Linked DNA regions of Pelodiscus sinensis. The protein of the gene in region 2 purifies or fractionates together with the protein of the main gene of each other region. This does not show direct contact. Links are inferred from orthologs where the notes say so. Each region holds a gene or a part of one and is shown on either strand. Other genes may lie near its edges.

Evidence for each region.
Region 1: the proteins of PPP4R2 (region 2) and PPME1 purify together in Homo sapiens (affinity purification with mass spectrometry; 3 studies listed by BioGRID and IntAct, counting the BioPlex papers as one, with this or other methods). This does not show direct contact. The link is inferred for Pelodiscus sinensis from reciprocal best matches to the Homo sapiens genes PPP4R2 and PPME1.
Region 3: the proteins of PPP4R2 (region 2) and TIPRL purify together in Homo sapiens (affinity purification with mass spectrometry; 5 studies listed by BioGRID and IntAct, counting the BioPlex papers as one, with this or other methods). This does not show direct contact. The link is inferred for Pelodiscus sinensis from reciprocal best matches to the Homo sapiens genes PPP4R2 and TIPRL.
Region 4: the proteins of PPP4R2 (region 2) and CCDC6 purify together in Homo sapiens (co-immunoprecipitation; 3 studies listed by BioGRID and IntAct, counting the BioPlex papers as one, with this or other methods). This does not show direct contact. The link is inferred for Pelodiscus sinensis from reciprocal best matches to the Homo sapiens genes PPP4R2 and CCDC6.

What each region holds. Positions count from the first base shown.
Region 1 is NC_134711.1:322,164,270-322,172,110, reverse strand, and holds the start of PPME1 (protein phosphatase methylesterase 1), read right to left. Parts: upstream 3,013-7,841; 5' UTR 2,834-3,012; coding exon 2,736-2,833; intron 1-2,735. Other genes in the region: C2CD3 (C2 domain-containing protein 3), read left to right, coding at 3,236-3,305, 6,893-7,162. UniProt on the Homo sapiens protein: Demethylates proteins that have been reversibly carboxymethylated. Demethylates PPP2CB (in vitro) and PPP2CA. Binding to PPP2CA displaces the manganese ion and inactivates the enzyme.
Region 2 is NC_134721.1:11,131,037-11,138,115, forward strand, and holds the start of PPP4R2 (serine/threonine-protein phosphatase 4 regulatory subunit 2), read left to right. Parts: upstream 1-4,068; 5' UTR 4,069-4,209; coding exon 4,210-4,243; intron 4,244-4,569; exon of another isoform or gene 4,570-4,641; intron 4,642-4,803; coding exon 4,804-4,885; intron 4,886-7,079. UniProt on the Homo sapiens protein: Regulatory subunit of serine/threonine-protein phosphatase 4 (PP4). May regulate the activity of PPP4C at centrosomal microtubule organizing centers.
Region 3 is NC_134711.1:149,454,481-149,462,395, forward strand, and holds the start of TIPRL (TIP41-like protein), read left to right. Parts: upstream 1-4,907; 5' UTR 4,908-5,038; coding exon 5,039-5,139; intron 5,140-7,915. UniProt on the Homo sapiens protein: May be a allosteric regulator of serine/threonine-protein phosphatase 2A (PP2A). Isoform 1 inhibits catalytic activity of the PP2A(D) core complex in vitro. The PP2A(C):TIPRL complex does not show phosphatase activity.
Region 4 is NC_134718.1:22,305,018-22,312,658, reverse strand, and holds the start of CCDC6 (coiled-coil domain-containing protein 6), read left to right. Parts: upstream 1-4,633; 5' UTR 4,634-4,831; coding exon 4,832-5,104; intron 5,105-7,641.

The DNA.
Region 1 (7,841 bases), on a different chromosome or scaffold from region 2:
CTGTCAAGATGACATTCCTCTCAGAATGTTATAAGCATGTCCTTAACTTGGACACCTCCTTTTCTTCCATATAAAAGCTCAAGATTTTTCCTCTCACATTTAAAAGTGCCCTTAATTCCAGCCTATCATCTCCCTTTTACCATCTCTATTACTATGCTCCTGCCAAGAGTCTTTCCTAACCATTTCCTTTCTTTCATCTCTCCTCCATCTGGAAGAGCCTCACAAAAAACATTAGCCACTCTTTCTCTCTCAGGGCACATCTACACTACAGCAGCAGAGCTGCAGCTCCATAGGGTAGACACTTCCAGTGTCAATGAAAGGTTTTTCAATTCACATAGGTAATCGAGCTAAGCTGACAGAAGAATTCTGTTGAGCTAACTGCATCTAGCTGAACCATAGCACTTGGGAATAAATTTTTCATCTCCATGAGTCATGGAGCAAGGCTGCTCTAAATTTTAAGTGTTGACTAGGGCTTAGCTCTCATCTCTGTCTCTATATTAAAAAGCTTTTCCTGCAGGACGACAGACTGACATCATCATGTCACTCTGTGCCCAGCCTGCCTCCTCCCTCTCTCCCCCATATCCCAGCTTGAGCCCGACCTCACTGCTTCCCCATGCCACTTGGAATTGCTATTTTAAACCAAGCCCCTACTCCCCTTTCTCCACCCTCACCCCACAGGGCTTTCAATGCCAAGAAACATGGCACAGTAGCCAGCAGACCCCACATGGCAGCCATGACAGCCCAGGTCCGGGGGGGGGGGGGGTCGCGGGTGGAGAGAGAAGAGAGACAGCAGCCAGGGACAAGCATTAGGAGAGGGGCTCCCAGTCAGGCTTGAGTGCCAGAAGCAGGCTCGAGGGTCTCCCTGCCCCCAGGCTCTTGGGGAGCCCGAGTAAGGTGCCTGACTGCCTGAACTCCAGATGCCCCACAGAGACTTACCCCCTCCCCAGCAGCTGCACTTACCGCAGCTGTCAGAGCACCCCCCGAGCCACCACACAAACCTGTCTGCTCCTCCTTTCTGCTCCCGGCGGGTACCTACGCAGCCCTGGGCTCTTCAGGCAGGGGTGGGACAGTGAGCAGCACAGGCAGGACCACACAGGGGAGAGGTCGGAACAGCAGCCCACCTGTGGCAGCTTGCCCCACCATAAGAGGCTGCAGTGCCCCGGAGCTTCGTGTGCACACGGCACTACCTATGCTTCACTATGCCCCACGCAGGGCAGGCAGCCAATCCTGCACCTCCCCAGCTGCTGGGACTACAGCTGGGCCTAGCACACCATGCGGCCAGGAGAGGGAGGGTTAGAGTTGGGGGAGGGAGAAGTGACCCAGGCCGGTGGGGGAAGGAAGGGGAGAAGGGCGAAGGGACCTGGGCTGGCATGGCAGCAGCCCAGCCCTCCTTGGTGCCTGGGGGCACAGTCCCCTACTAATACATTTAAATTTGTTTATAAAGCTGATACCTGTTTGCTCTGCATTGTGCTATCCCGGGTGGCAGATTGCTCAGCAAGGACTTACTTGCCTGGCAGAGTTCAACTACCACCCAGCTTCACACAGTAGTACTGGTTCATCTAATTTTCTTCATGTCAACAGGCAGATGGCCTGATAAGCCAGGTCCATAAACATCTCATAGACATTTGTGAATATCCTTATTCAAGACTGAATTTCCAACAAAAACTATTATAATTATTAGTGTCAAGTTACCCTCTAGTGAAACTGTTCAATCTGCTGAAACACATCTCAAGTTAATATGTTAAATTCCTCTCCCATACCTGATGTAAATGTCCCAAATGTCCCCTTGCACACAACTGGCACCCTTGCCTGTCCTGTCAATCCCTATCCACCCTACAAGGGATATCTTCGCCTCCTTCTGCCAATCCCCATTACCGCTGCACAACCAGCATCCTCCCACCTGCAACAACTCTCTCCTCACCCCACAACAGAGACCCTCACCTCCTTGGCCAGTCTCCCTCAAAGTACAAAATTAAAGTCTGTGTGCCTGTCGCCCTGTTAAAAAAGGCCCCAACCAGCAAATTAAAAAAGACTTGCAACACGAGGACATAAGGTTCCAAAATGTAAAGCTCCTCTGCCCACCCCACCACAAGAGGCACCCCTCGCCTCCTCTGCCCACCCCCTCCGCCCACCGCAACAGGCTCCCCTGCCTCCTCTTCCCATCCCCCCAACAACCCCCGCCCAACAGGCGCCCCCGCCTCCTCTGCCCATCCCCCCAGCAACCCTCGCAACAGGCGCCCCCGCCTCCTCTGCCCATCCCCTCAGCAACCCTCGCCCAACAGGCTCCCCCGCCTCCTCTGCCCATCCCCCCAGCAACCCCCGCCCAACAGGCTCCCCCGCCTCCTCTGCCCATCCCCCCAGCAACCCCCGCCCAACAGGCTCCCCCGCCTCCTCTGCCCATCCCCCCAGCAACCCCCGCCCAACAGGCTCCCCCGCCTCCTCTGCTCATCCCCCCAGCAACCCCCGCCCAACAGGCTCCCCCGCCTCCTCTGTCCATCCCCCCAGCAACCCCCGCCCCCTCTGCCCATCCCCCCGCAACAGGCGCCCCCGCCTCCTCTGCTGGTCTCCAACTTCCCAGTGGTAAAATGCCCGTCTCCCCCCAACCCCCGCCCCTCCCGCCCCGGGATCAGTGACCTAGACTCAGCCCGCCCCCGTCTCCAGCCGGCTCTGCCAGCCCCGGACAGGGACCCTCCCCGCCGGGGGGGCCAGCGCCGCCTGCCCGCTCCCCCACCTACCCCATGCGCATCTTGGATCCCGACTGGCCGCCCCCGCCGGGCACAGCGGGCCGTGGGGGCAGGCGGCCCAGGTGCAGATGTTTCTCCAGGGTCGACATGATGGGAAGACGCCGAGACACAAGGGCAGGTATCACCCCGCCGAGCCAGCAGCGGCTACCCCCACCCACCGGCGCCGGAAGTGCCTGCTGCCACGCCCCACTGCACCACGGGAAACGGAGTCCGCCCCCGGGTAGGGCTCATGCCGGGGAGCGCCTCCCCTGCCGGAAGTGCCCGTCCTCGCGCGATCTTCTTTAGCCGGAAGCGGGGCCGCAGCGCCCCCTGGGGATTGTTGTTCTTACCGCTGGGCTGTGCGCTTGCGCGGCTCTGCTTGCGGCTCGGAGACTCTCCCGCCCTGTCCCAGCGGGCCCCGCGGCGGGCTGAGGCGGCGGCGGCGGCGGTTGCCGGGCAGCGGCGGTAGCTGCGGGCCGCGCCTGGCGCGGGGGAGCGGCTGGGGGGTGGGGATGAAGCAGAAGAGGCCCAAGGGCCCCGCTCCCAGGGTGGGAGGCGGCGGGGCCGCCCGCAAGAGGAGAGGTCAGAACCCTGCGCGGGGGCAGCAGCTGCCGGGGGGTGGCCCCCGGGGCCGGGGGCGGTAGCCGGGGAGGCGGTGCCCCGGGGCGCAGCGGGCCCCCGAGCAGTGGGTGGCGCCGGTCACGTAGTGGTGGGTGCTCCGGGCCCCGTAGGAGAGGGCAGATCTTCTGATGGGCATCTGAAGGGGGGGCAGCACCCTGCGCGCTGTGGAGGGTCGCGATTCTGGGGGCCAGCACCTTGGCGCTCTGTGGGGGGTGGCAGGTACATGGCGGCCTGTGTGGATTATAATGTGGGGTGTGCCCTTGCGGTGCCGCAGAGGGCTGGGAGTTGCCATATGGGTCTTGGTGGGTACTTACAACCATATCGGCAATAGGGAGTAACACTGCTGGCGCAACACGTACCCCGAGGGCACATTGGAGTCGGGAGAGGCTATAGGCGTGGAGATGTAGAAGAGATCTGCAGTTTGTCCATCAATCGCCCTAGGAGGCCTTTCACTGAAGGGTAGGGGGGCGTGTTGCAGAGTGGTGCTGGGCAGACAAGTTGTAACATCACCACTTTCCGATTTTCATTGTGGCTTAGGGTTGGTTTTGCAGTCACAGTCTCAGCGGTGGTGTGAATGTGTATTCATAGAATAATAGGACTGGAAGGGACCTCGAGAGGTCATCGAGTCCAGCCCCCCGCCCTCAAGGCAGGACCAAGCTCCGTCTACACCATCCCTGACAGATGTCTATCTAACCTGTTCTTAAATATCTCCAGAGAGGGAGATTCCACCACCTCCCTTGGCAATTTATTCCAATATTTGATCACCCTGACAGTTAGGAATTTTTTCCTAATGTCCAATCTAAACCTCCCTTGCTGCACTTTAAGCTCATTACTCCTTGTCCTGTCCTCAGAAACCAAGAGGAACAAATTTTCTCCTTCCTCCTTGTGACACCCTTTTAGATATTTGAAAACTGCTATCATGTCCCCCCTTAATCTTCTTTTTTCCAAACTAAACAAGCCCAGTTCATGAAGCCTGGCTTCATAGGTCATGTTCTCTAAACCTTTAATCATTCTTGTCGCTCTTCTCTGTACCCTTTCCAATTTCTCCACATCTTTCTTGAAATGTGGCGCCCAGAACTGGACGCAGTACTCCAGCTGAAGCCTAATTAGTGCAGAGTAGAGCGGCAGAATGACTTCACAAGTTTTGCTTACAACACACCTGTTGATACAACCTAGAATAATATTTGCTTTTTTTGCAACAGCATCACACTGTTGACTCATATTCAACTTGTGGTCCACTATGACCCCTAGATCCCTTTCCGCCATGCTCCTTCCTAGACAGTCACTTCCCGTCTTGTATGTATGGAACTGATTGTTCCTTCCTAAGTGGAGCACTTTGCATTTCTCTTTATTAAACCTCATCCTGTTTACCTCTGACCATTTCTCTAACTTGCTAAGGACATTTTGAATTATGTCCCTATCATCCAAAGAAGTTGCAACCCCACCCAGTTTGGTATCATCTGCAAACTTAATAAGCGTACTCTCTATCTGAATATCTACATCATTGATGAAGATATTGAACAGTACGGGTCCCAAAACAGACCCTTGAGGAACTCCACTTGTTATCCTTTTCCAGCGGGATTTAGAACTGTTAACAACAACTCTCTGACTACGGTTATCCAGCCAATTATGCACCCACCTTATCGTGGCCCTATCTAAGTTATATTTGCCAAGTTTATCAATAAGAATATCATGCGAGACCGTATCAAATGCCTTACTAAAGTCTAGGTATATGACATCCACCGCTTCTCCCTTATCCACAAGGCTCGTTATCCTATCAAAGAAAGCTATCAGATTAGTTTGGCATGACTTGTTCTTCACAAACCCATGCTGGCTATTCCCTATCACTTTATTACCTTCCAAGTGTTTGTATATGATTTCTTTAATTACCTGCTCCATTATCTTCCCTGGGACAGAGTTAAACTGACTGGTCTGTAGTTTCCTGGGTTGTTCTTATTCCCCTTTTTATAGATGGGCACAATATTTGCCCTTTTCCAGTCTTCTGGAATCTCCCCTGTCTGCCATGATTTTTCAAAAATCATAGCTAAAGGCTCAGATACCTCCTCTATCAGCTCCTTGAGTATCCTGGGATGCATTTCATCAGGACCTGGTGACTTGCTGACATCTAACTTTCCTAAGTGATTTTTAACTTGTTCTTTGTGTATCCTATCTTCTAAACTTACCCTCTCTGCTTGTATTCACTATGTTAGGCACACTTCCAGACTTCTCGGTGAAGACCGAAACAAAGAAGTCATTGAGCATCTCTGCCATTTCCAAGTTTCCTGTTACTGCTTCTCCCTCCTCACTAAGCAGTATATATATGTTGCAATATATTTTGTATGTGAACTACGGATGTTAAATTGCGGATAATCAGCTACTTGATTAGCTGATAAAGGCGTGGTGGGGCTCGCTACCTCTGCTGTCGCTCTGCACTCCTGGCTTTGGAACCCCTGTGGCTCTGCCTCCCCTCCTCCTCCCCTCACACCGGCTTCTGCTTCCCCCTCATTGCAGACCTTGACACAGAGGCAGCAAGGGGAGGGGGGAAGCAAGTTGTTTAGTCCCTTACATCCCTGATGTGAACATGAGGTGTGTTACAGTAATGCCAAAAACTTGCCATGTACATATGTTGTTAGGCCAGAGCTACTCAATTTTGGAAGCCCTGGGGCCCATAATGATACTTACAGTACATGTTGAGGGCTGCAACTGAAGTGTGGTTGTATATACATGCAAATAGCTTCTTTCACACTGATGGGCATGAATACAAAGATTAAGGCAAGATTACACAACACTTAGGCCCCATTTAAGTCAGATCTGTTGATATTAATAAAATGCAATATTTACCCAATTACCACCCATATGACAGCACTTTTAGGGTGCATCTATACTGCACGGCTTAACTCGAATAAGCTACGCAAATTATGCTACATCAATTGTGAATCTTATTTTGAAATAGGGAGCATCTACACAGCACTTATTTTGAAATACAGTGCTCTTCCTCCAACTTCCCTCACTCCAGGAGTCGGAGTAAGAAACCCTCTAGCTTGACAGTATTTTGACACTATTTCGAAATAACTGCCTGCTGTGTAGACATGGACTAAGTTATTTCAGAATAGTGCTAGTTATTTCCAAATAGTGTTGCAGTGTAGACATGCCCTTAATGAGCAATGACAGTCCAGGAATTTAACTACTAAAATGTATATCAACAGAAGATCATTATATTGACTCGCCGTTGTGGAGCGTGTTCCCAGTGGAGGCCAGGTTCAAAAGATCCCACCCGCAAGCCACGTGTTGAGCCCCATGTAAACCCAAACCACAACGCAGGCAGCAAACAGACAGGCTGCAGGCCGCTGATATTATGGGCCGTGCGTTGAGTAGCCATGTTGTAGGCTGTAATGTTATATGCATCTATAGGGTAACCCTAAGTGTGGCATAGAATATTAGAAACACCAAGTATTTTTTTAACTCTATAAAGTGATCTGTATCTCGAATATGTTAACTGCATTTATGTTTTTGAGAAGTAATACTGTTTCTTTTTTGTATCTCTGCAGGAATCAGTGATATCTCCCCTTCTACAAGTTTACCACCTCTTGTTGAAGGCCAGTTGCGCTGCTTTCTGAAGTTAACAGTCAGTAAAATCTTGTGGATGGTCTCTAAGCCGCCTGCTACTGTTCTCATCCGAGTGAGGTGGTGGGGGGAAACATCAGATGGCACGCTTTTTATTCCCAGGAATACTTCACAGACTGAGCAAAAAGCAGTGAAAACCACCACCCACTATGCAATCCGTTGTGGACCAAAACAGTTTGCATCTTACCTGACAGGTACAGTAGTGTATGCTCTGTATTAATTTTGCAGTTGAAATTTCTATCATGACATCTGTTCAGTAGACTTCATCAGTAATTGCAAAGTGCGTTCATGTGTAAAAATAACCCCTTAATTTTATTGTTAGTGAATCTAGAATATGGTTTTATGTAGTGTGTTTCATGTTTCATATTTCAAAGGGCATTGAATCATCAGGAGAACCATAAAAATTAAAAACTATCGCACAGTACTGATGGTTCTTAAATATCCTTATAGACTGACCATGGAAAAAGGATTCAAAGGACATAGTGAGAGACCTGTGTCTTCTAGACAAATAGGTGTCATAGTATGTATTCTGGGTTTCTGTAGCTGCAATGGCTGGATGACAAATAGATCCTGTCAAGGACCTTTAAAAAAAGGCCACAATCTTGCAGCAAGCTCGGTATGAAGAGAGCATTACACTTGCATGATCCTCACACTTGCATGAACCTTATTGCAAGATTGGGGTCTTAAATAGTTTAAGTGCTTATGTTTGATATTAGTACTTGTAAGTGTTTAATAATTTAGTATTTATAGTAATTTCTTCACAGTATAACATTTTGATAGTCTTACTTAGTGTTTTTCATCTATAGAGCTCAGTGTTTGACGAAGTAGGTCGAGTATCATCTAAAGATGTTAAGGACTAGTCGACTATCCAAT
Region 2 (7,079 bases):
AACATTTAGAATACATTTTATACAGTGTGTTTTAACAAAGTGTATTTTTATATTGCATCACAAAACAGTTGATTTATATAGCATGTTATAAATATGAAGTGGTAAGTAGCATTAATCTTACTAACATTAAATGGTACTCCAAGCTCCAAAAGGTTTACAAGGATCTCAGTTCTAAAGCCCATGGAGTTCTAAATACGGGTTGTGGTTCTCCACTTTATAGAAAAAAAAAACATGTGTGTGGACATGGTTAGACTCTAGGAACTGGATTATCCCTGATGCATGCCAAAACTCACACAGAGAGCTCCTGGGGAAGTGGTCCCCAGGCAGAGCACGCCATATTGTTTGGTCAAAATTACTGGTTTTGTCCTCATCCAGAAAATAGACTGTACCCCAACCAGGTTAATCTCTTAGAGCACATCAGCATTCTTGCAATGCAACTTTATTGGAATTGTTCTGCCAAGGACCCTGAACTGGAATATTCAGGAAAGCTCACTGGGATTGGAGGGTGGACAATGTACATCATTATCAGCCATGCTCTGGCCCTCCTACTGTTCCTTGCGGTCTGTCAAATCTCTAACTCATGCTATGCATACTCTGTATTCTCAGGAAAAGTTGGTAGAGGAGGACGAAGAATGGTTCACAGAGATTACTGATTCCCCCTTCCTCCTTTTTTTGTATGAGAAGAGGGAAATCTATGGGCACACGTCCCTGCATATTCAGATCCGGGGTAGAGTGTGGGAGATGATCCAGGCCTATTCAGGATTTTACCTAATAGTAAATGACAGCAGATGTGCCAGCTCACATATGCCTAAAATAACAGTTAGCTGCAATATTTGGCTACTTTATTTATGACTTCATTTTTATGGGCATTTCCATTTCCTTCTAGGAATCATGATCCCGAGTGCCTCAAAGTGTCCACAGTAGATACGTTTGTGTGTGTGCAGCTGGCTGGCTGGTTAAAATCTGCAGAGCTGGGCGCTCAGATTCCCATGAATCCCACGTCTCTCTGTTTCAGTTAACATCCCTGTTGATTCTGGGACCCAGTCCAGGGAAGTATGGGGAAGATTGTACAGATTTTACCACTGCTCTGGGTGTTTGTCCTTTGTGGGCTTTTGTGTAGGGAAATTGATGGACCATTACAAGAATATATATCGAAAAGACATTTCTAAAAGTGCTTTTAGAAGTCCTTCACACTTTTTCAGTATTTCTGTTTAGTGCATAGATCTGTTTTCTCCCTCGCCAGAGGCTGTCATTTTAATTAAACTTCTCAATAGAAGTCCCTTTTGATGATTTTCAAACTAATGCCATGGCACTGTAAATTACTACATATGTGCTTAATTTTAAGCATGTGAGTGGTCCCATTGCCTTCAATACAACATCAATGGGAACCACTCATGCTCAAAATTAAGCACACCACTGTTTGCCAAATTAGGGTCTCAGACTGAAAGGATCAGCTTTTCCATTACAAATAATAGAAAGCATTGAAAATCAAGGTTCTGTAATTTTTAGAAATATATTTGCATAGTTTTGTTGTGCAAAAGCGGTTTAACTATCATTTCCTATTTATCAATTCCCAAACATGATTTTTCTAAAATTGTCAGATCAAATATGAGTGACCACCTAAATATGTGAGTCAATGTGTGTGTGCTTATATATAGCATAATTCATTTCATTTGTGGAAAATCATGCATTTGTATAATTGTGTATGTTCCTTTTCGTGATTACTGCTCAAAGTGTACCCCTTAATTAATGGATATGGGACTCAAAGATATTATATCTCAAATAAGGAATATCCCTCCAAGTTTGGCTGGATGATCATCCTAGTCAATTCTATTAGATGTATACATAAGAAATGATTACTGACTTTTAATGCAGCTGGTCAGTTGCACCTATACCTGAAAGCAATAGAAAACAGTAATTCATACCATGGTGTACAATGGTATTATAGTACAAAGCATGCTTATTTTAGATGGCATCTTTCATATAAAAATTACTGCAAAAATACTTAAGGTAAATAATATAATAGTCAAATAGCAGAGACAGTGCAGCTGGTGTGTAGGTAGTGCGTAAGGGAGTATGGAGTCTCCTCAAATCTGAGTGTGGCAGAAGTGTGTGTGTGGAAGGTGATGGGAGACGAGAAACCCCTCCCCAGAGTACGGATGTTGTGTGGGGGGCTAAGTATCCCCTCAGTCAGAGTGTGGAATGTGGGAGATTGGGAAGCCTCTGTGGAAGGGCCAGAAGGGGTGGGGAAGCCCCTATTGGAAACGTGGGTGTAGGAGAGGGGTTGGGTAGCCCCCCAGTCAGTATGGAAGATGGGGGGAGCTAGGGGAGACCCCTGTGGAAGGGGCAGGAGGGATTGGGAAACCCATATGACAGGGGTGAGAGGATGGGGAAGCCCCCCCAGTCAGTGTGGAAAGGGGGGTGAGGAGGCCCCATGGGCAGATGCAGGGGGATGGGGTAGCCCTCCCCAGTCAGTGTGTGTGGGGGGGTTAGGAGGCCCCTGGGCCAGATGCAGGGGGATGGGGTAGCCCCCCCAGTCAGTGTGTGTGGGGGGGGGGTTAGGAAGCCCCTGGAGCAGATGCAGGGGGGATGGGGTAGCCCCCCCAGTCCGTGTGTGGGGGGGGGTTAGGTGGCCCCTGGGGCAGATGCAGAGGGAGGGGGTAGCCCCCCACAGAGTGTGTTTGGGGGGGGTTAGGAGGCTCCTGGGACAGATGCAGGGGGATGGGGTAGCCCCCCCCCGAGTCAGTGTGGAATGGGGGTGAGGTGGCCCCTGGGGCAGATGCAGGGGGAGGGGGTAGCCCCCCAGTCAGTGTGTGGGGGGGTTAGGAGGCCCCTGGGGCAGATGCAGGGGGATCGGATAGGCACCCCAGTCAGTGTGGAGAGGGGGTGAGGTGGCCCCTGGGGCAGAGGCAGGGGGGTGGGGTAGCCCCCCCCAGTCAGTGTGGGGGGGGCGAGGTGGCCCCTGGGGCAGAGGGAGGGGTGACCCCCCCAGTCAGTGTGGGGGGGGCGAGGTGGCCCCTGGGGCAGAGGGAGGGGTGACCCCCCAGTCAGTGTGGGGGGGGCGAGGTGGCCCCTGGGGCAGAGGGAGGGGTGACCCCCCCAGTCAGTGTGGGGGGGCGAGGTGGCCCCTGGGGCAGAGGGAGGGGTGACCCCCCCAGTCAGTGTGGGGGGGCGAGGTGGCCCCTGGGGCAGAGGGAGGGGTGACCCCCCCCAGTCAGTGTGGGGGGGGCGAGGTGGCCCCTGGGGGGCAGAGGGAGGGGTGACCCCCCAGTCAGTGTGGGGGGGGCGAGGTGGCCCCTGGGGCAGAGGGAGGGGTGACCCCCCAGTCAGTGTGGGGGGGCGAGGTGGCCCCTGGGGCAGAGGGAGGGGTGACCCCCCAGTCAGTGTGGGGGGAGCGAGGTGGCCCCTGGGGCAGAGGGAGGGGTGACCCCCCAGTCAGTGTGGGGGGGCGAGGTGGCCCCTGGGGCAGAGGGAGGGGTGACCCCCCCCAGTCAGTGTGGGGGGGGCGAGGTGGCCCCTGGGGCAGAGGGAGGGGTGACCCCCCCAGTCAGTGTGGGGGGGCGAGGTGGCCCCTGGGGCAGAGGGAGGGGTGACCCCCCCAGTCAGTGTGGGGGGGCGAGGTGGCCCCTGGGGCAGAGGGAGGGGTGACCCCCCAGTCAGTGTGGGGGGGCGAGGTGGCCCCTGGGGCAGAGGGAGGGGTGACCCCCCCCAGTCAGTGTGGGGGGGGCGAGGTGGCCCCTGGGGCAGAGGGAGGGGTGACCCCCCCAGTCAGTGTGGGGGGAGCGAGGTGGCCCCTGGGGCAGAGGGAGGAGTGACCCCCCCAGTCAGTGTGGGGGGGGCGAGGTGGCCCCTGGGGCAGAGGGAGGGGTGACCCCCCCAGTCAGTGTGGGGGGGGCGAGGTGGCCCCCACTCAGAACGCAGAAGGCGAGGGCGGGGCCCCCTCCCCGCGGTACGTGCGCAAGCGGTGCGCGTACCGGCCGCCCGCCCGCGCCGAGCCCATCCCCTCGCGCTGCCGCCTCACCCAGCCCCGCCCCCCGGCGCGCCACCGCTCCCCCCGGGAGGGGGCGGGCCGTCGGGGGCGCGCACGGTGGCGGCCCGGCGCCATGTTGGAGGCTTGCTAAGCCCGCGGTGTGTGTTCGTGCCGCTGCCGGTGCCTGTTTCCTGTGCGGGGCGGGGGGGCAGGAGGCGGGAGCGGCGCCGCGGCGGACCATGGATGTCGAGAGGCTGCAGGAGGCGCTGAAAGGTGGGGGCCGGGCCGCGCGGGGGGCGCTCGCGCCGCCGCGGGTGGGTCCTGGCGCTGAGGGAGGCCACGGCCCCTGGGGCAGGCGAGGAGGCGGCGCCCCAGGCCGGGCGGAGGAGGCGGTGAGGAGCAAAGTCCCCTCCCCCCCGTCGCTGAGGCGGCAGCGCTCCCTGGGACACGAGGGAGAGCGCGCGGGGGGGGGGGCGGTGTAGGTGGGCGGCTGGGGGGGGCAGTGTCTCTTCTCTGCCCTTGACCCCCCCTTGCCCCGCGGAGCCCAGCGCCCCCGTTGTCCCCCCTCCCCTTATCCCCCGCCTGCCTCCCTGGGCGCAGCCGGCTCTCTCGTGGCTCCAGCCGCTCCTGGGAAGTTGCGAGTCAACTTCGAGTGACTTTCCGCCGTTCAGGTGCAGGCGGTTCCCTCCTCAGACAGCGGCGGGAGTGGGGTACCGGGGGGGGGGGTCTCGCTTTCCCGCACACTGGGACTTGGCAAAGCGTCTTGTGGGACCAAGGCCACTGATGGTAACTGGGATTTTCTCATCCCCCTCCCCCGCTTCCCTTACCTGCAGATTTTGAGAAGCGAGGGAAGAAGGAATCGTGTCCAGTGCTGGATCAGTTTCTTGGTCATGTTGCCAAGACTGGGGAGACAATGTAAGTCTGATTCCTTCCCCACTCTTATCAGTTGAGGCTCATAAGAGCTTTTACCAATTTTAGGCCCAGAGCTTTAGATTTAATGCCCGAGTTTGGTTGACATGCAGCTTGATTTTGTGACCTAAATATTTTGCCCTTCATTCTAGTGGCAGTTCTTAGTGATTGAAGACCTCTCCAGTTTTGTTGGTTTCTTTCCTTTCATGCTTGTAGTTGACCCACATGAGTCTGATATGATTGAGAAGTTTCTCCTTGTGTGTTGTATAGACTTGGTTCAGGGTCATCTGTCGGGTTTTGTGGATCCTGTGAATGCCTGTTGCTTTCGCCGCATTTTATATAATACTCATATCTGGTTGCATAGCCTGAAAGAGGAGAAGTTTTTTTTAGTGTGTATTGTGAAGTCTTTCAAACGTGATATCCCATAGCATGATTCACAAAAGCAAGTGACTTGGTGATTTAGATGAATGTTTGCAGGCTTTGTGTACTATACTCACAGGCTGCCTTGCATTCAGTTTCTGTTTTTTAAGTCAAAGGTGAAAAACATAATTTAGAAACTGTCTGCCCAAAAGGGTATGGGAACTAACTTGTTACCTTGCATTTCATTAGGTCCTCCTTTCTTAGTCTACACAACTGTTCCCACTTCACTCTCCCTAGGCTTTTCTTTCATAGATCAGCATTAACTGGGGTTAGGGCCGCTTTTTTTTTTGGAAGGGACATTGTATTTATCAAAGAGCTGGAATATCTCTCCTTGTCAGAGATAATCTCTGGTGCTGCATTGTGTTACTTCCTCGGTGCCTCACCATTTGGCAGGAAGGAGAAAGGCTTCCCTGGGTGCCTTGCTGGTGAATTGCTCACTTTCTGGCTCCCAGGCTGCCTCCTTGTTTTTTGAGGCCTAGTACAGGCTTCAGAAAGGAATGTGTGTCTATACCAGTGTTTTATTAGGAACTACTGATTCACAGAGGCTTTGTTCTAGCTTATAGTGTGTCTAACTTGCAAGAGATCTGATTTTTAATATACTGTGCTATTACTCGTTGAATTTGTGGCCTTTAAAGGGAAAACTCAAGTCCCGAAATGCACTTTGCTCTTTGAATCAAAGGTTTCAGCTCAGCAGAAAAAGGCACAGCTGTAATACAGATATTTTTGCTTAATGGATTGTTAGATGGTCTGACTTGAAAAAAATGCTATTTTTGTAAAGTGTAAAATTACTCTTTAAATATGATAGCTTATATTTTGTCTGAAATTTTGTCAGGCTTTTGTTGACTAGTCTGTGTATATGGTATTTTGGAAGCTATAAGATATTTGTAAAAGTCACCTCACAGGAAATATGTAAGAAAACATATATGATAGGGAATTTAGACCCAGGTGCTTTTGCTTGCTTTCTTTTTAGGAAATATGTGGATTAATTTTGTATTCATTTATACAAAGGCCTTGATCCTGCAATGAGCTCTGTTTGAGATACAAATCATGGACCTGTACATTCTCAATATTTCTCTTAATTTTTTAATTACTTGGTATTGTAGTTGCTGTAGCTGCTTACTAGTTTCTCATTTGTTAGTAATAGTTCAACAAGTCTCTAGTGTTCTCTTTTGTACACAAACAAGGCAATATATGGAGTGACTTTGCCATTACATTTAATTTTGCTCCCATTAGACCGCAAGGTCTACATTATTTCTTCATCTGATATTTTGCAAAATTTATTTACCAAATTCATTTTGAAATATTCAAATAATTAGGACCCTCTATTTAGGGAGAGTCCACCATGTTAGTGATTCTGCGTGTTGGCAATGTTTCTCTTTTACAAGTACTGTGTAGAGTTGTACATATTTCTGCTGACATGTAACATAACGAACAAAAAAGGATTTTGTGTTAGGGAAGGAAACAAATGATATAATATAACAGGCTATTTTGCTGTGTTTCATTTCAGTTAATGTTATTTCTCTGGTTTTCAAGTAAAGGTATTGTGGCTTTCATAATGTTTTTTCCAAACTCTGTGTATCCTTGATTTAAAAAAAAAAAAAAGATAACTTCTGTGGCATTTGTACTTTCTGGTAGATTAAGTTATTAAATGTAATTAATGTGGTATTGAAAAATAAGATAAAATGTTTAAAAAAAGGTCTTTGAGGCTCTCATGGACATGCTATAAATTGCACATCTAGCATTGTAGGTGTTAATCATACAAATACTAACTTAAGTGAGT
Region 3 (7,915 bases), on a different chromosome or scaffold from region 2:
CTCATAGGTCATATGCTGCAGCCCCCTAATCATTTTGGTTGCCCTCCGCTGGACCCTCTCCAATGCGTCCACATCCTTTTTGTAGTGGGGGGCCCAGAACTGAACACAGTACTCCAGATGCTCACTCCTGTTCTGGCCATGAGTCACAGAAATAAATAATCTGTCAGACAATGGATTTTTACTCAGTGTGCAGCTTCATAGGTCATTTACATTCCCTCACTCAGGTCTTAAATTCTCAAAGATTATTTCCCTGTGGTTTCCCATTCCCCTACACTTGGGGTTCTGGGTGTTAGCTCAGTGGGGAGAGGGAGGAAAAGATTGGGGTGAACACCACAGAACTGAAGCCTCACACCTTGGCACTTTCTACAGGCCTGAAGTATGCCTCCTGCTGGTTTGAAAATGTTTACCAGAGCTCTGCTAGAGTGGGCTCTGATGAATTTGAGCCCTGCACTCATCCCATGCATTTCCTAGGAAACCTACTCAATTAACAGTTTACACTGTTTCAAAAAGTTCTTTAATGTTCCTAACAGCAATAAACACAGTCCAGAAACCCTCTGAGGAGAATATGGGGTTGATCCCCAAGGAATAAATAGTTAAACCAGCTGACTGTATACAATGTTATTGTGCTATAAAATGTCAAATAAGGTCTTTTATGAAAGCTTGTAGTGTAATGTCCCTATGTTTTATGTAAGTCACATCTTTCCAGGAGTTACATACAATCCCACAGTAACACATACAGGCAGTCCCCGGGTTACGTACAAGATAGGGACTGTAGGTTTGTTCTTAAGTTGAATTTGTATGTAAGTCAGAACTGGTACATATTGTACCCCAGGTGTCCCCGATTCAGCGCTGCTGAAACTGACCAGCGGCTGACTACAGGAAGCCCGAGGCAGAGCTGCTTTGCCCCGGGCTTCCTCGAATCAGCTGCTGGTCAGTTTCAGCAGCAGCTGACTTGGGGACACCTGGGGTAGAGCAGCTGGGGTGCTGCCAGGTTGGTCCCCGCAGCGCCGAGGTGCGGTGCTGCGGGGACCAACCCGGCAGCGCCCCAGCTGCTCTGTCCCAGGCGTCCAGATTCAGCCACTGTTGAAACTGATCAGCAGCGGCTGAATCGGACACGCCTGGGGCAGAGCAGCTGGGGTGCTGCTGGGTTGGTCCAGTAGCGCCGCACCTCGGCGCTGTGGGACCAACCTGGCAGCCCCCCAGCTGCTCTACCCCAGGCTTCCTGATTTAGCCGCTGCAGAAACTGACCAGCGGCGAGAAAAGCCTGGTCTGCTGGGGAGTGGGGCACACTAGCTGCGTCCCCCCCCCCCCCAGCCGACCAGGGAGACGCGGGCGGCGGGACCGCTGAGACGCGCCACGGTCCCGCCGCCTGCGTCCTCCGCGGCTTTGCTCCGCGTCTCCCTGGTCTGCTGAGGGAGCCCCCCCAGCAGACTAGGGAGACGCAGAGCGGCTTTTCTCGCCGCGGGGTTCCCTCACCCCATTCGTAAGTAGGGATCCGACATAAGTCGGATCCACGTAACCCGGGGACTGCCTGTAATTGCATTTGTAATACAATGGATCTCAGAAGTATTGCATTTAGCTCAGTACAGTTTAATACATTGCAGAAGAGGACACTCCCCACTATTATAGCAACACTTCTCTAGTTTGGTGCATTCCCACCCTCAATAGATGGAAACAGAGGTAGAAAGAGGGTCAAATTGCAACTTCAGCTACATCAATTGTGCAGCTGAAGTCGAAATAGCTTAACTCAGCGTTTGGTGCTGTCTACACAGCAGGAAGTTGAAAGAAGAACACTCTCCCTTCAGCTTCCCTTACCCCATGTGAAATGAGGGTTACAGGAGTCGGAGTAAGAAGTCCTCCAGCTTGACATTATTTTGAAATACAGGCTTGTAGTGTAGACATGCTCCTTGTTATTTTGGAATAACATCAGTTATTCCAAAATAATGTTGTTGTGTAGACGTACCCATAGTGAAATTCATGTTTAGTGTATCTGCCATCCCCATTTCTGTGACTCAGGAATCGTTTGTTGCAAATTGGTAAAGGGCATAGAAGATACATAGGAGTTTACGGGGATCCCATAGATGACTGGTGCTTCCCCATAATGGGGGGACACTAGCTAAGGGGGAAGACATGCGACCATCCCATGTGTCTCTCCTTCAGTGACTCCCCTCCCACTTTGTGTTACCCAGCCCCATGCCACATGAGGGTGAGGATTCTATGTCCTTCTTTCTCCTGCACCTCTCTCCCACCGCATTTGCTACTTTCTCTGCCCTTGGCAGTTGGGCAGAAATCAGGACACAGCTGTTTCTGCCTAAAAGGGACTGAATGGAAGGTGAGAGAGAGAGAGAGAGAGAGAGAGAGTGTGTGTGTGTGTGGTTGTGCCCACAAAAGCTCATGATACCATCTACATGTTTTGTTAGTCTCTAAGGCTCATCTAAACTACATCCTCTTCCGAAAGAGGAATGTAAATGAGGCTGATCAAACATGCAAATGAAGTGCAGATTTACCAATCTTGTGCTTCATTTGCATAATTGCGGGCGAGCGCTTTTTCGAAAAAGGGTTTTTCGAAAAAGAAACTTCAGTCTAGAAGGAATTCTTTAAAAAAAAACCAACCCTTTTTTGAAAGAGCCTGTACTCCTGAAAAAATGAGGTGTATGGGCTTTTTTGAAAAAGGGCTTTTTTATTGAAAGAACCCCATCTCAACTGCGCTTTGTTTTTTGAAAAACCCTTTTTCGAAAAAGCATTCTCCCACTATTATGCAAATGAAGCACAAGATTTGTAAATCTGCACTTCATTTACATTTTCAGTCGGGCTCATTTACATTTCTCTTTCAGAAGAGGAATTTAGTTTAGACGAGCCCTAAGGTGCAGCAGGACCATTCGTTGTTTTTTAACATTTTTATGTATGTGAGAGTGAGCCTCCAAATCAGACTCTCTTATGCAGAAGCAGCTGACAAATGTGTTGTTTAGTTGGGATAATAATGCTTCCTTTTCTGGCTGATCATATGTTTCACAGTGTAAATCGAATTGCATTACTTAACCTGATGCTAATGAAGATGATGACTTCACGTAAGATCAACAAGAAATGTTTTATCCCAAAACAGCATGTTTCTATGAGTAAAGACAATAAATATTGGGAGTATAATGGGAATATTATGATATACCTGAATCCTTCACCAAGGAGACAAAACTGTCAGGATGTTTAGCCTTACAAAAGGAGGGTGACAACCAATGTTCCCTCTAATCTTTTCTATGTGTTGATTATTTCCATCCATGTGCAGAATACATTTTTATGTGTATCAAGGCATTTGCGAATAGGGTTGCCAGATGGTTTAACAAAAAATACCGTACCACCCAAAAAAACCTGGGAAGAAATTCCGTTAAGAAAAAAAAAACAGCAAAAGTTGTTGAGCAAAAAGAAAAAAAAAAGGGATTGAGTAGGGCCGAAATACAGTCGCGGCCCTTTAGTTCCCAGCCTGCTCCATCCTCCCCTTGCCCCAGCCAGCCCAAGCTGTGCTGCGTGTCCCAACCACCCTTCCACAGACACCTGAGCTGGGAAAAACAGAAAATGTTCTGAATTTTTTTACTGGATGGAAGGCGCAAATACCGGTGGCTGTCCAATTCAGTACCGGACACCTGGCAACCCTATGTGTGAAGGTGTACCACTAGCAGAAGCAAAATCCTAGATGTGGGAAATCTGCTAATCAGCTGGAGAGCATTTGAAGCTCTCTTTGAGTGGCTGCACAGGCGCACAGCTTACAGAGAATATTGGTGCCAGCCAACATGGCTGAAAAACACTGAAGACTTCATTAAACAATACAGTATCCTGATTGGGGGGGGGGAAGGGGGAGAGTAGGGTGTCCAATTCCATCCTGAAGCCCTTCCCCCTCCTGCCATCCCCTTGCCATCTCCTCTCCCTGTCACTCTGTTCCCTGAGGACTGGGCCTCAGGGATTACTTGGGGAGCCTCGCACAGGGTGGTCCCCCAGCAGTAGGGTCCCCCTGCACTCCCTTTTTGAAGGCAGACAATTGTAGAACAATTGTAGAACAATCAGAAGTGTTAAACTGAATGTAAAGAAATGAAACCAAGATAGGAACATAGTAGGGGTATCAATAACAGTAAACACTGTGATTGGGATCATTACAGTGTTTCCGAGCATTAAAATTCTGAAAATATAGAATACAGACATAACAATATTTAGTATATTTCAGAAATACAAATTGCAGTTTTTTTTCAATGATTGATGGCAGTGGTAAGCTTCAAATTTGTTTAAAATTGTAAATACAGGGCATCTCTGCTATTAGTTCGCCCCATATATATCCGTTTCATACTTAAATCGTGTGCAACACAAACCAAACAACCACAAACAAAAACCCCAACCAATTTGTGCAAATGGAAGTCAGCTGCAGGAGAAAAAAAATCACCACTTTGGGTGTAAGTCCAAGTTTTTTGGAACAGAACTTGGACTTGTAGCGAGGACAGCCGGTACATCAATACAATGTGTTCAACTCCTGTCTACAGCTATCAGGGGGTAGGGAAACTAAAGTTTAGCGTTTCATTTTAATTGTGGAAAACACTGGTTTTTATGAGCAGCTAATGCTGGGGTTCTGCAGTCCCGGGCCAGTAGGCTGTGTGGGGTGCCTGTTGTCACACCCAGCCGCGCCTTTCCAACGCTTTGACCGGCCCCTTCTCAACTCCCTCGTGCTCTGCTAAGGAAACGCCTCCCCGTGCCGGACCCACAGGCAGAGGCGCTGTGGTGGAAAGGGAGGGGCGGCGGCTCTGCGAACGCAGGGACTGCGGGAAGGGCGGAGCGCGCCTGTGTTCCCCGCCCCTCCAGGCCCCGCCCCCTCGAATCCCCGCTGCGCCTGCGCGCGTTTCTCGTGACGCTGGATGACTCTACCCCCAGGCCAGTCGGTGACCCCGGAAGCGGAAGTGCAGGACGGCGGGGAGTGCGGATTCCGGTTCCGGCGGCGCTGGTGCCGCTGCTGGGGGGAGCCCAGCAACCGCCTCTTCTCCCACCTCCTCCTCCCGGCCCCGCCATGCTCCCCGTGTTCCAGAGCAGCCGCCGCGAGTTCACCTTCGGGCCTTGGAAACTCAGCGCCGCCCAGACCCACATCATGAAATCTGCCCAGGCCGAGAGGTGGGGGCGGGCTGCGGGCCGGCGGGGGTTGGGCTGCCTGCGCCCGCTCTACGGGCTGCGGCCGGGCGGGCGCCCGTGGACGCTCTGAGTTGTCAGCCTGAGGTTTGAGCCCGGGTCTGACTCGGGTCAGCAGGCCCCCGGGATTTGGGCGCTAACGTCTGGGCTCCTGCCCTGTCATTCCGCAGTGTGGATACAGCTTAAACCACAACCCATGTGCGGTCTGTGGAGAGCAGCTTGGATGCAATAGCACAGGTGTCGGACCTCGGGCCAGCGATTGTAAATCTAGGTGTTTGACGCCATGTAACGGTTGCTCAGACATGAGCTTGGAAACATTAAGGCTAAACTAGAGACCTTATATAATGGCACAGCTGTACCGCTTTGTCTCCTGTGTAGCTAGCTATGATGATAGAAGGGCTTAATTAAACTGACCCCCCGCCCCCAAGCACCGGGAGCTAGGGATGTAAAATCCTGTTCAATAAGTTAACCAGTTAAACATTAAGCTGCTGTTACCTGGTATGCATCACCTGTTAAGGGTGATGCTTACTGGGTAGTTGGTTAACCAGTTACTGCATCCTGCTGGGGATGAGAAATGGTGTCACCAGTAGGGATGCAAAAGTATAACCATTTAAATGGCTAGCCCATAAGCCTGGTGTTAGCAGTTAATATTAACAGTTATATGCAGGCTCCCACCTTGCTCCTGGGGAACCGGCTGCCACCCTGCACTACTGGCTCTAGCAGTTATACAACTACCCACTTTTTAACATCCCTAGTTGGCAGGAGAGGCTCTACCCAATGACATAGCACTTGCTGTATCAGTGCTTTTGTGGATTAAATGTATGTTGGTGGGGGTATGTGTGTTCCACACTCCTGACCAATAAAACTTGTACTGATAAAAGTGTTAGTGTAGACATAGTCTGAGTCCATAACCATTGGGCCTTCAGACCTGGGTTTACTACATAGTGTAGGCAAAAACCTTGGCAAAACCCAGCTATCTTCTCAAGAGCCACAGCAAAGAGCACTACTAATAAAAGGGAACCCCAATAAATGTAAAGTGCATATTGCCACCATTTGGGGTCAAGAATTTCTTTTGCATCCTTTGTCTGATGTTGTGGGTCATCTTTTTGTTTGAGAGGTAGGGATGTGGTGTTTTTCTTCTTCTTCCCAAGGACATTTATTGTGGACTCTTCAGCTCATGTTTTCTTACCAAATGGACCACATGCCTTTTCAGATGTGGCAACAATTTCTGTTTCTATAAAGCAGTAGGAGAAACTGCTTCCTTCAGACTTGACTATTGTTTGTTTGAAACCTGAATGTTAAACTAAATATAAATAGTTCAGATACTAACAGTAATATTTGAGTTTGTTTACAAGCAACTTTTTTTTGATAGTTTGTTATCTCTGGATCTCATATCCTATAGTAAATTAAATCTGTCATACTTCAGCTATTTTAAGTCTCACCAATATAGGACTTTCAGATTGTTGCATTAATTTTTGTGAGATTCATTTGCTTATCATAAACTTATTTTGGAAGGTACTCTTTGTATAAGTCTGCCTTTTATTCAAATGTTTGTAAAGTCCTGAATAGACTTTTAAATTAAAAATGTCATTTTATTGAATTGCATTCCATAGCAAAGTGTATGATAAACATGAGGAGATGAAATCATAAGGTTATGACATTATTTACCAAACTATCTGGGAGTCATAGTCATACAGCCAGATCGCATGGTGTTTGTTGTGAGCTGCACAAACACAGTGCAATTCTACTCTTAGGAGCATTTTTTGCACTCACTTTTTTCTCATTCTATCTGTGCCTGATGTGTCTATTTACAATTACAGACCGGTAAATTTACCAGGTAAATTAGTTGAAACTATAGCAAAGAATAAAATCATCAGACACATAGATGCACATAATTTGTTGAGGGAAAGTCAACATGGTTTCTAAAAAGGGAAATCATTCTTTACTAATCTACAAGAGTTATTTGAGGGGGGCCAACAAATATGTGGACAAGGGGGATACAGTAGATATAGTGTACTTAGATTTCTGGAAAGCCTTTGACAAGATCCCTCACCAAAGGCTCTTAAGTAAAGTAAGTTGTCATGGGACAAGAGGAAATGTCCTCTCATGGAGTGAAAACTGGTTAAAAGACAGGAAACAAAGGGTAGGAATAAATAGTCAGTTTTCAGAATGGGGAGGGGTAACTAGTGATATCCCCCAAAGGTCCGTACTGGGACCAATGCTATTTAACCTATTTATAAATGATCTGGAAAAAGGGGTAAACAGTGAGGTGGCAAAATTTGTAGGTGATGCTAAACTGCTCAAGATAGTTAAGAACAAAGCAGATTAACAAAGCAGACTGTAAAGAGCTCTCACCAAACTAAGTCAGTGGGCAACAAAATGGCAAATGTAATTTAATGCTGGTAAATGTAAAGTAATGCACATTGGAAAAAATAATCCAAACTATACATACAAAATTATGAGGACTGATTTAGATATAACAACTCAGGATAGAGATCTCGGAGTCATTTGTGGATAGTTCTCTGAAAACATCCGCTCAATGTGCAGCAGCAGTCAAAAATGCAAACAATGTTAGGAATAATTAAAAAGGGATAGAGACTAAGAGAATATCTTATTGCTTCCATAAAAAACTATGGTACACCCATATCTTGAAGACTGTACAGCTGCAGTTACCTCATAAAAATATATTGGCATTGGAAAAGGTTCAAAAAAGGGCAATACAAATGATTAGGGGTTGGAACAGGTCCCACATGAAGAGAGA
Region 4 (7,641 bases), on a different chromosome or scaffold from region 2:
ACAGTTTATTTTTAAATTATGCGATACATAAAATTAAAATCAGGTGCTTATAGTTATGAAATAAATGGTCTGGTTTTTATTCATGCTATTTAAATCTAAAATGAAGCATTTATAATTATACATTTTGTGGGGACAGAGTTCTGCAGCTGGGGACAGGGGAGAGGGAACAGGGTGCTGGGAGGGCAGAGAACAGGGCTCTGCAGCAGGGGACAGGGTGCCAGTGGGGACAGAGTTTGGAAAGTGGGGACGGGAATAGGGACAGAGTTCTGTAGCTGGGGACAGGAGAGTGGGGAAAGAGTTTGGAGAGTGGGGACAGGAGTGGGGACAGAGTTCTGTGGCTGTGGCCAGGGGAGTAGGGGCCGTGTTCTGTGGCTGGGGAGTGGGGTGCCAGTGGAGGCGGAGAGTCCCCTGCATCTCCCTCCTCCCAGGATTCTCCCCTCCCCTCAGGGAAACCAGCGCGTGCCTGCCCCGGGGCCGACCCCACCCGGCGCAGGGAAGCCCCAAACGCGCCTGCCCTGGGGCCGACCCCCCCACCCGCACAGGGAAAGCCTACGCGCACGCACCTGCCCCAGGACCAACCACTCTCCCCCGATGCAGGGAACCCGCGCATGCCTGCCAAGGGGGCCGACCGCCCCCCCAGCGCAGGGAAGCCCCGCATGCACTTGTCCCAGCGCCAACCCCTACCTGCACGCGCGCACCTGCCCAGGGGACCGACCCCCCCCACCCTCGCAGGGAAACCCCGTGCACGTGTGCGCGCCTACCCCGGGGCCAACCAGTGCAGGGAAGCCCCGCGTGTGCCTGCCCAGAGGGCCGACCCCCGTGGCGCAGGGAAACCCAGCATGCGCTTGTCCCAGCACCAACCCCCCCATGCAGGGAAGCCCCGTGTGCACGCCTGCCCCGGGGCCAACCCCCCCCCCATGTGTGCGCGTGCTGGGAAACCCCCTGCGTGCCTCCCGAGGGGCTGACTCACCCCTCCTTGAGGTAAGTAGTGGGGCTTCTCGGGGGTTGGAGGGAAATGGGGAAGGGGAACACAGGACGCCTCGCAAGGGACTGGTTGAGGCCTCGCGATCAACCAGTAGCTCGCTATCGACCTGTTGGTGACCATGGACTTAAAGGAATGACCGGTGGTAGATACAGAATTTGGTGTCCGCATTTTGTAATCCTCTTAAATTTAGTTGGCTAATTGGCATTTCAGTTCATTTATTACAGTTACCTCGAGTAACACAATAACCAACACAGTTTTGTTTTCAACTGAAAAATGTACGTTTTTATTTACAAGGGGGAGGGGGAGGAGACCTTCAATTGGGAGGGGGAGGAGCTACTCCTGGGAGGGGTGGCCCCTGCGAGTGCTTCTGCGGGGGCAGACCTGGACATGCAGAGCAGGCTGCATTGGGGCAGGCTGCATGGGGAGGTGGGCAGGAGGGGGCATTGCAGGGGCGGCAAAAGGAGGTATTGCAGGAGGGGGCATTGCAGGGACAGGAGGGGGCATGGGCAGTGCTAGGGGAGGGATGGCGGGGGCATAGGGTAAGGCCATGCCATAGTGAATGGCATGGGCTATGTGGGCAATGAGGGTGGTGATGGAGTCAGCCATCCATGTGCACTGGGCCTGGAAGGCGACTCAGGCCTCCTGGCGCCTACTGCAGGTCCCCCTCGACACACTGGCAAATCGATGCCTCGATGCGCTCGACGGCCTGCATGTGCCAGCGAAGGAGCTGGTCCCGGTGGCAGAGCCTGTGCCTGCGTGGTTGGGCAGCTGGGGATGCTGCTGCTGCCTGACTGGAGGGTCCCCGGCTTGTGCTTGGTCCCGCTGCAGGGAAGAGAAGAAAGGATGGGTCAGTCAGGTAGCCCAGACACTGTCCCCACACCTCATGCCCTCCACCCCTGAGCCCAGGTGACACCACAGTAGTGTGGCTTGGGCCCACTCAGTTCCCCGCCTACCCCCCGTGTTGTATGTTTGCATATAGGAGCGCCCCTGGAGTAGGATCCTCCTCCATGTATTGTAACCACTGGTCTGTGTCCTGGCCCCGTGGAGGGCGGGAGGGAGCTTGTGTTGCATTAACCTGTGGAACTCCCTGCCGGTAGAGGCTGTGAGGCTTTGGGCTAATCACTGGTATTTGACAGGGCGCGAGATGAATCCCCACACAGTGCCTGGGAGCACGTCTGGCAAAAGTGGTCTGGGCTCTCAGATCCCCATCACGTAGGATGTCTCCTGGACAGAACCAGGAGAGTGACTGGTGGGGGAAGGGTGTCCCATCCTTGCAGCAAAACTCAGGTGGCCCTAAGGGCAGCCCGAGCGCTTCCCCCGCTTCTCCCTCCCACTATCCCTCACACACGTAGCCCAGGGACATGTGTGGCCGCAGTGGGGACTTCCCTCGGGGAGCCAGCCAAGGCACCAGGAGCAGGCGAGGGGCTCAGTGGGGGCCACGCTCACAGGGCTGTGATGCTGCGGTTTTCCCAGGAGCAGCTGGCTGTGCCTCACAGCCAGGCATGGGACAGTGTGCCGTTCTGCGTGCTGCACCCTTGCAGAGGTGCAGGCTCTGGGCTGAGTCCCTGGGGCCCTAGCCGGTTCCAGCCGGCATCCACCCTTCCCCCGGTCCTGCCAAATGTGTGTGAGCAGCACGGTCTCAGGCGTGCCCTGCCGCGGCCACGTGCCTCTCCGTCACCAGGATGCATATGGTTGCACGTGCTGCTTGCTGCCTAATGCTATACAGCATGCAGCTCACGTGGCCTGAGTGACATGCTCTCCCCCTCCCCCCTCCGGGCGCCTGGCTCCCTCCCCTCCACATTCTACCCTTGTGAGTGCAAAGTGCAAGACTCACTGGTGGATCCTTCCCCGGCCTCGGAGGAAGCGCGGGAGACATCAGGGCTGCTGGAGGGGGCCTGCTGGGTGGCAATGCTGGCCTCATCCCCCGATGCACTGCTGTCTCCTTCCTCCACCTCGGTGGTCCTGGAGACGGGGGAGGGAGAGACGCACACTGCTGTCCACGGGCACATCTGGGGCTTGCAGGACTGGCTGGCCCAGGATGGCGTGCAGCTGGTCGTAATGGGGGCAGGTGTCTGCTCCTGCCCCCAGGCCCTCACTGGCCCGCACGTAGCCTAGGCGCTGCTCCTTGACTTTCGCCCAGACTTGTTCGAGGGTCCGGGCTGGATGGCCTTGCTGATCGAGCGCCTGGGCCATGTTGGTGAAGATGTCCGCGTTGCGGCGCCGCAAGTGGGTCTCGTGGAGGGCCTTCTCCTCCTGCCAGAGGTCGAGCAAGCTGTCCAGCTCCCCCAAGGACCACGATGGGGCTCGTTGTTTGCGGCCCCTGGGGCCTCCTGTGCTGGGGGTGCAGGTGGCTGAGCGCCCGGAGCTGCCATGCTGGCTGCGATGTGGCTGCTGGGCACGGCAGGGGCACTGTGGCAGACCTCAGGCAAGAGGTCTGAGGCATGCTCCTGCCATGTGCGCTCAGCAGCTTGAGTCTGCTTTAAGAGCTTGGGTTACCAAGAAATCCGGGGCTCCTACAGGGTCTCCCAGTGTCCAAACCGCTTTTTTCCGTTTAGCCTGCTTTTGCGCAAAAGTCTTAGCTAGCTGTCTACACTGGCCCTTTTACACAACAGTTTTTCGCACAAAGGACTTTTGCCCGAATGGGAGCATCAAAGCTTTTCCAGAAAAAGCACTGATTTCGGACAGTAGATCGTCAGTGCTTTTGCGGAAAATCAAGCGGCCAGTGTAGGCAGCTGGCAAGTTTTTGTGCAAAAGCAACTACTTTTGCTGAAAAAGTGGCCAGTCTAGACACAGCCCAGGGGTGTGTCTAAACTGGCAATTTTTTGCGCAAAAGCATTTGCTTTTGCCCCCAAACTTGCTAGCTGTCTACACTGGCTGCTTGAATTTGCGCAAGAGCACCGACGTTCTAATGTAAGAATTCAGTGCTTCTTGCACAAATACTTTGACGCTCCCTCTCAGGGATAAGCCCGCTTGTGCAAGAATACTTGCACAAGAGGGCCAGTGTAGACAGGCACCTTAATTTTTTGCGCAAGAAAGCCTGATGGCTAAAATGGCCAATGGGGCTTTCTTGCACAAAAGCGCGTCTATACTCAGCATGGATGCTTTTGCACAAAAGCACTTTTTGCGCAAAAGCATCCGTGCCAATCTAGACGCTCTTTTGCGGAAATACTTTTAAAGGAAAAACTTTTCCATTAAAAGTATTTCCGCAAAATCATGCCAGTCTAGACGCAGCCCAGGTGTTGGGGATGGGGAGCTATGACTCATGGCACTCTATAGGTGTGCGAAAAAATACAGGCAATGGAGATGGGGGGGACAAGGGCTGAAGAATGCAAATACGCTTTCCTCCAGTCTCTCTGGGAGTTTTAAAAACGGAGGTAATGTTTGTAGCGCGGCTCTGCCTGGGCGGCAGAAGACCGGCGGCGGTTTGTTGGTTCCAACAGTCTCCGAAAGTTCCTGTCCTAGCCACGTGGGGGCACGCAACAGGCAACCCCTATTAGCAGCCCCTTTCCGCCAGTGACTCGCGTGGGTCCCGCAAGGAGCGGGTAGGCGGGGACACGTGCGGATGACTGGTCTGGGGCCGGAGACACAGGGTTTCACTAGCGGGGGTGACTAAGGCAGGCTACGGGCGGGGTGCGGGGGCCCCGCTGCAGTAGCGCCAGGCCGCGGGCGGGGTCGCTGTGGGCTGGGCGCGCGGCAGGCAGCTCCCCGCTTTGCCAGCGAGCGCGGCTCAGAGCCTGCGCCCTGCGGCCCTGCCCAGGCAGCGCGTCTCGGCCGGCCCCGCCCCCGCCCCGCTTCGCCCTCGAGACAGGCGGCAGCTGCTGGGAGGCGGAGGCAGCGGCCGCGGCGATGGCGGACAGCGCCAGCGAGAGCGACACGGACGGCGCGGGCGGCAGCGGCGCGGCCCCGGCGGGCGTTGCGGCGGGCCCCGGCGCGCTGGGCCCCGGCGGCAAGGCGAGCGGCATCGTGATCTCGCCGTTCCGGCTGGAGGAGCTGACGAACCGGCTGGCCTCGCTGCAGCAGGAGAACAAGGTGCTGAAGATCGAGCTGGAGACCTACAAGCTGAAGTGCAAAGCGCTGCAGGAGGAGAACCGCGATCTGCGCAAGGCCAGCGTCACCATCGTGAGTGCCGGGCAGGGCCGCGCCCGCTCCCGCTAGCCCGGGAGGGAGGGAGGGAGGGAGGCGCCCGGCTCCCAGGCGCCGTTGGAGGCGGTGCTGGGCCGGGCGGCTTTCCCGCCTCGCTTTGAAGGGGGCCTGCCCGTGGGGGAGGGGAGGGTGCCGGGGCTTCGGGAGGCCCGTGGGCTGCCCCGTTGGGCGAGTGGCCCTGCCGCGGTGCGGGGTCGCCGGGACCCCCCGGCGTGCGGTGCCGTTCCCAGGAGGCGGCTGCTGGAGCGGGTCCCGAGTCGTGAGGGGAAAGCGAGGTGGAGGTGCTGGCTCGGGTAGTGTGTGTGTGGGGGGAGGGAGAGCGCCGTACCGCGGCCATTCCCACACATCTGCCCTAGGAAGGGCCGCCCTGGAGCCGGGCGGCGGGGGCACCATGCCAGCATCCCGCGCGCACCCCCCTTTGCGGGGGCACAGGCGCTTCCCTGACAGGCTCTCGTAGCTGTTTCCTGGCTGCTTGCTGCAGCCTTGCGAGAAGAGGGGGAAAGGGGCTCGCCGAGGAGTTCACATTTACAGCTCCTTGTCTAGCCGCTTGCACTTGCTGCAGTTTGATTGGGTCCTTAGCTCCCCGACCTGATGACATGTGTTAACGTTGTGTGTGCTGAGGAGGATCTCGGGAAGGTGCCACAACCCTCGAGCTTGTTGACACAGAGCTGGGTTTAAAAAACTGGATGTACTAGCATGGTTTGATGTGCTTGCAGCTCAAACAAGTTTCTTCCTGTCAAGCCTTTCAAGTAAAATGGAACTCTCGCCAGCTAAGGACCCAGTCAATCTTCTGAAAGTCTTTAATATATTCTTGCATAAACTGAACGTTTTTCTTTAACACAAATGCAGAAAAATTTAACTCTGGCTAAGTGTTTAAAATGGGTGTCATATGCATTAGTTTATTTAAAATATGTTTTTCTGTTTTAATACCCAGATGAAAAGGAGGATGAGCAATAATCATACTCCTTTAAGATTCTATGTTCTCTGCCTTTTGTTTTACAGTGTTTCTGAAGTATTATGAATATTGCATGGTTATGGCTGTGGTCCTGCCATTGGATCCTAAAATTTGTAACTTGAGAAAACAGGTTGATTTCCTCACCTTAGCTAATTAAATAGATTTGCTTGCTTCTGTACTAATAGATGGGTTCTAAACTGTGTAACTATTTGGATATTGATAATTAAAATGCAAATCTATTAAAATAAGTCAGGGTACTGGATTTGTATAGAATATAGAAATTCCATGAAGTTGCTAAAGCCCACCTGCAGTGGGACTTTGGCTTCCTTCCCTGAGCTTCAGTAAGTATAACTCTGGCCATGCTTAGAGGACCCTCTGTAACCTGTGCACAGCCCCCCAGGTGGCCCCAGACTCCTTGTTAGGTACCATTACCATGGTCTATTTGAGGAACGGTCACTAGTTTATGAACTCTTAAAAGAATAATTAGAACTCTTAACTGCATCATAAATTATGGGATTAAGTATTAATCCTGAGTAAAACAAATACTCAGAGGCTGTTCTAGTTTTTCATTGTTCACATTCTTGTAGATTGGGGTAGGCAAAATACAGATGGAGCCTGGGGCTGAGCAGCAGCCTCAGACAGGCTCCCTGCCTGCCTGTGCCATGTTCGTGGAGCAGATAGTGCGTGAAGTACCCTCTTCTTCTCCGATTTGCGGCACTCTGAGACGCAGATGGCCTCCGTGGCCAATTCCTTTGAGCAGTGGGTAGGGCAGGGAAGGCAGGTAGCCTGTCTGAAAGTCTCGTTGGGATGCCACGTAGGTAAGCAGCTCTCGGCCAGAGCCTACCTCTAGCCCTGTCCCCTCGTTCTCCCTGCCTCATGTAACCCAAACTCTCTGCATCTAAACCCATACTTCCTCCAAAACTCTGCACCCAAATCCCCTGTCCCAGGTCACAGCCCAAATCCCTGCACCCCTGCTCCAGATGTCAACCACTTCCAGATCCTGCACACCTCCTGCTCTCCTCCAGGTCAGAATCCTCTCCTGCACCCATACCCCCTCCAGGACTCTGCACCACAAACCCCTGCCCCAGGTCACAACCTCTCCATTATCCAAACTCCCTTCCAAACCTTACACTTCTTCCTGTCCCTACATTGAGCTCTGTTCTGCACCCAACTTTCATCCCAGCCCTGCACTTTCTCCATTGATGTCATAGAAGAGTGGAGCCCTTGACTACTTATCAAATTCTTGGAGTGCCCTCCCGCATCAAAAATTGCTGCCCTGGTTTATGTGTATAGTGGTTGAGTGATGGTAGTCAGAATTTCCCTGTCAAAACTAATATGCAAGCATATTGTTTATAAATAACCCTGCATATTTGTATTCTTTGAAATTTGGTCATGGTTCTACACACCCTTTCTTAGGAGAATAGACACATTGCTATGCATGATGATCCTTCTAAAGTGCAGATGCTTTAGCTATCATTTCTGGCCTTTCATCTGTGTCTGACCTGGCAAATGTATTACCAATAAAATGGATACCACTTTACTTCTTACTATTGGCAGT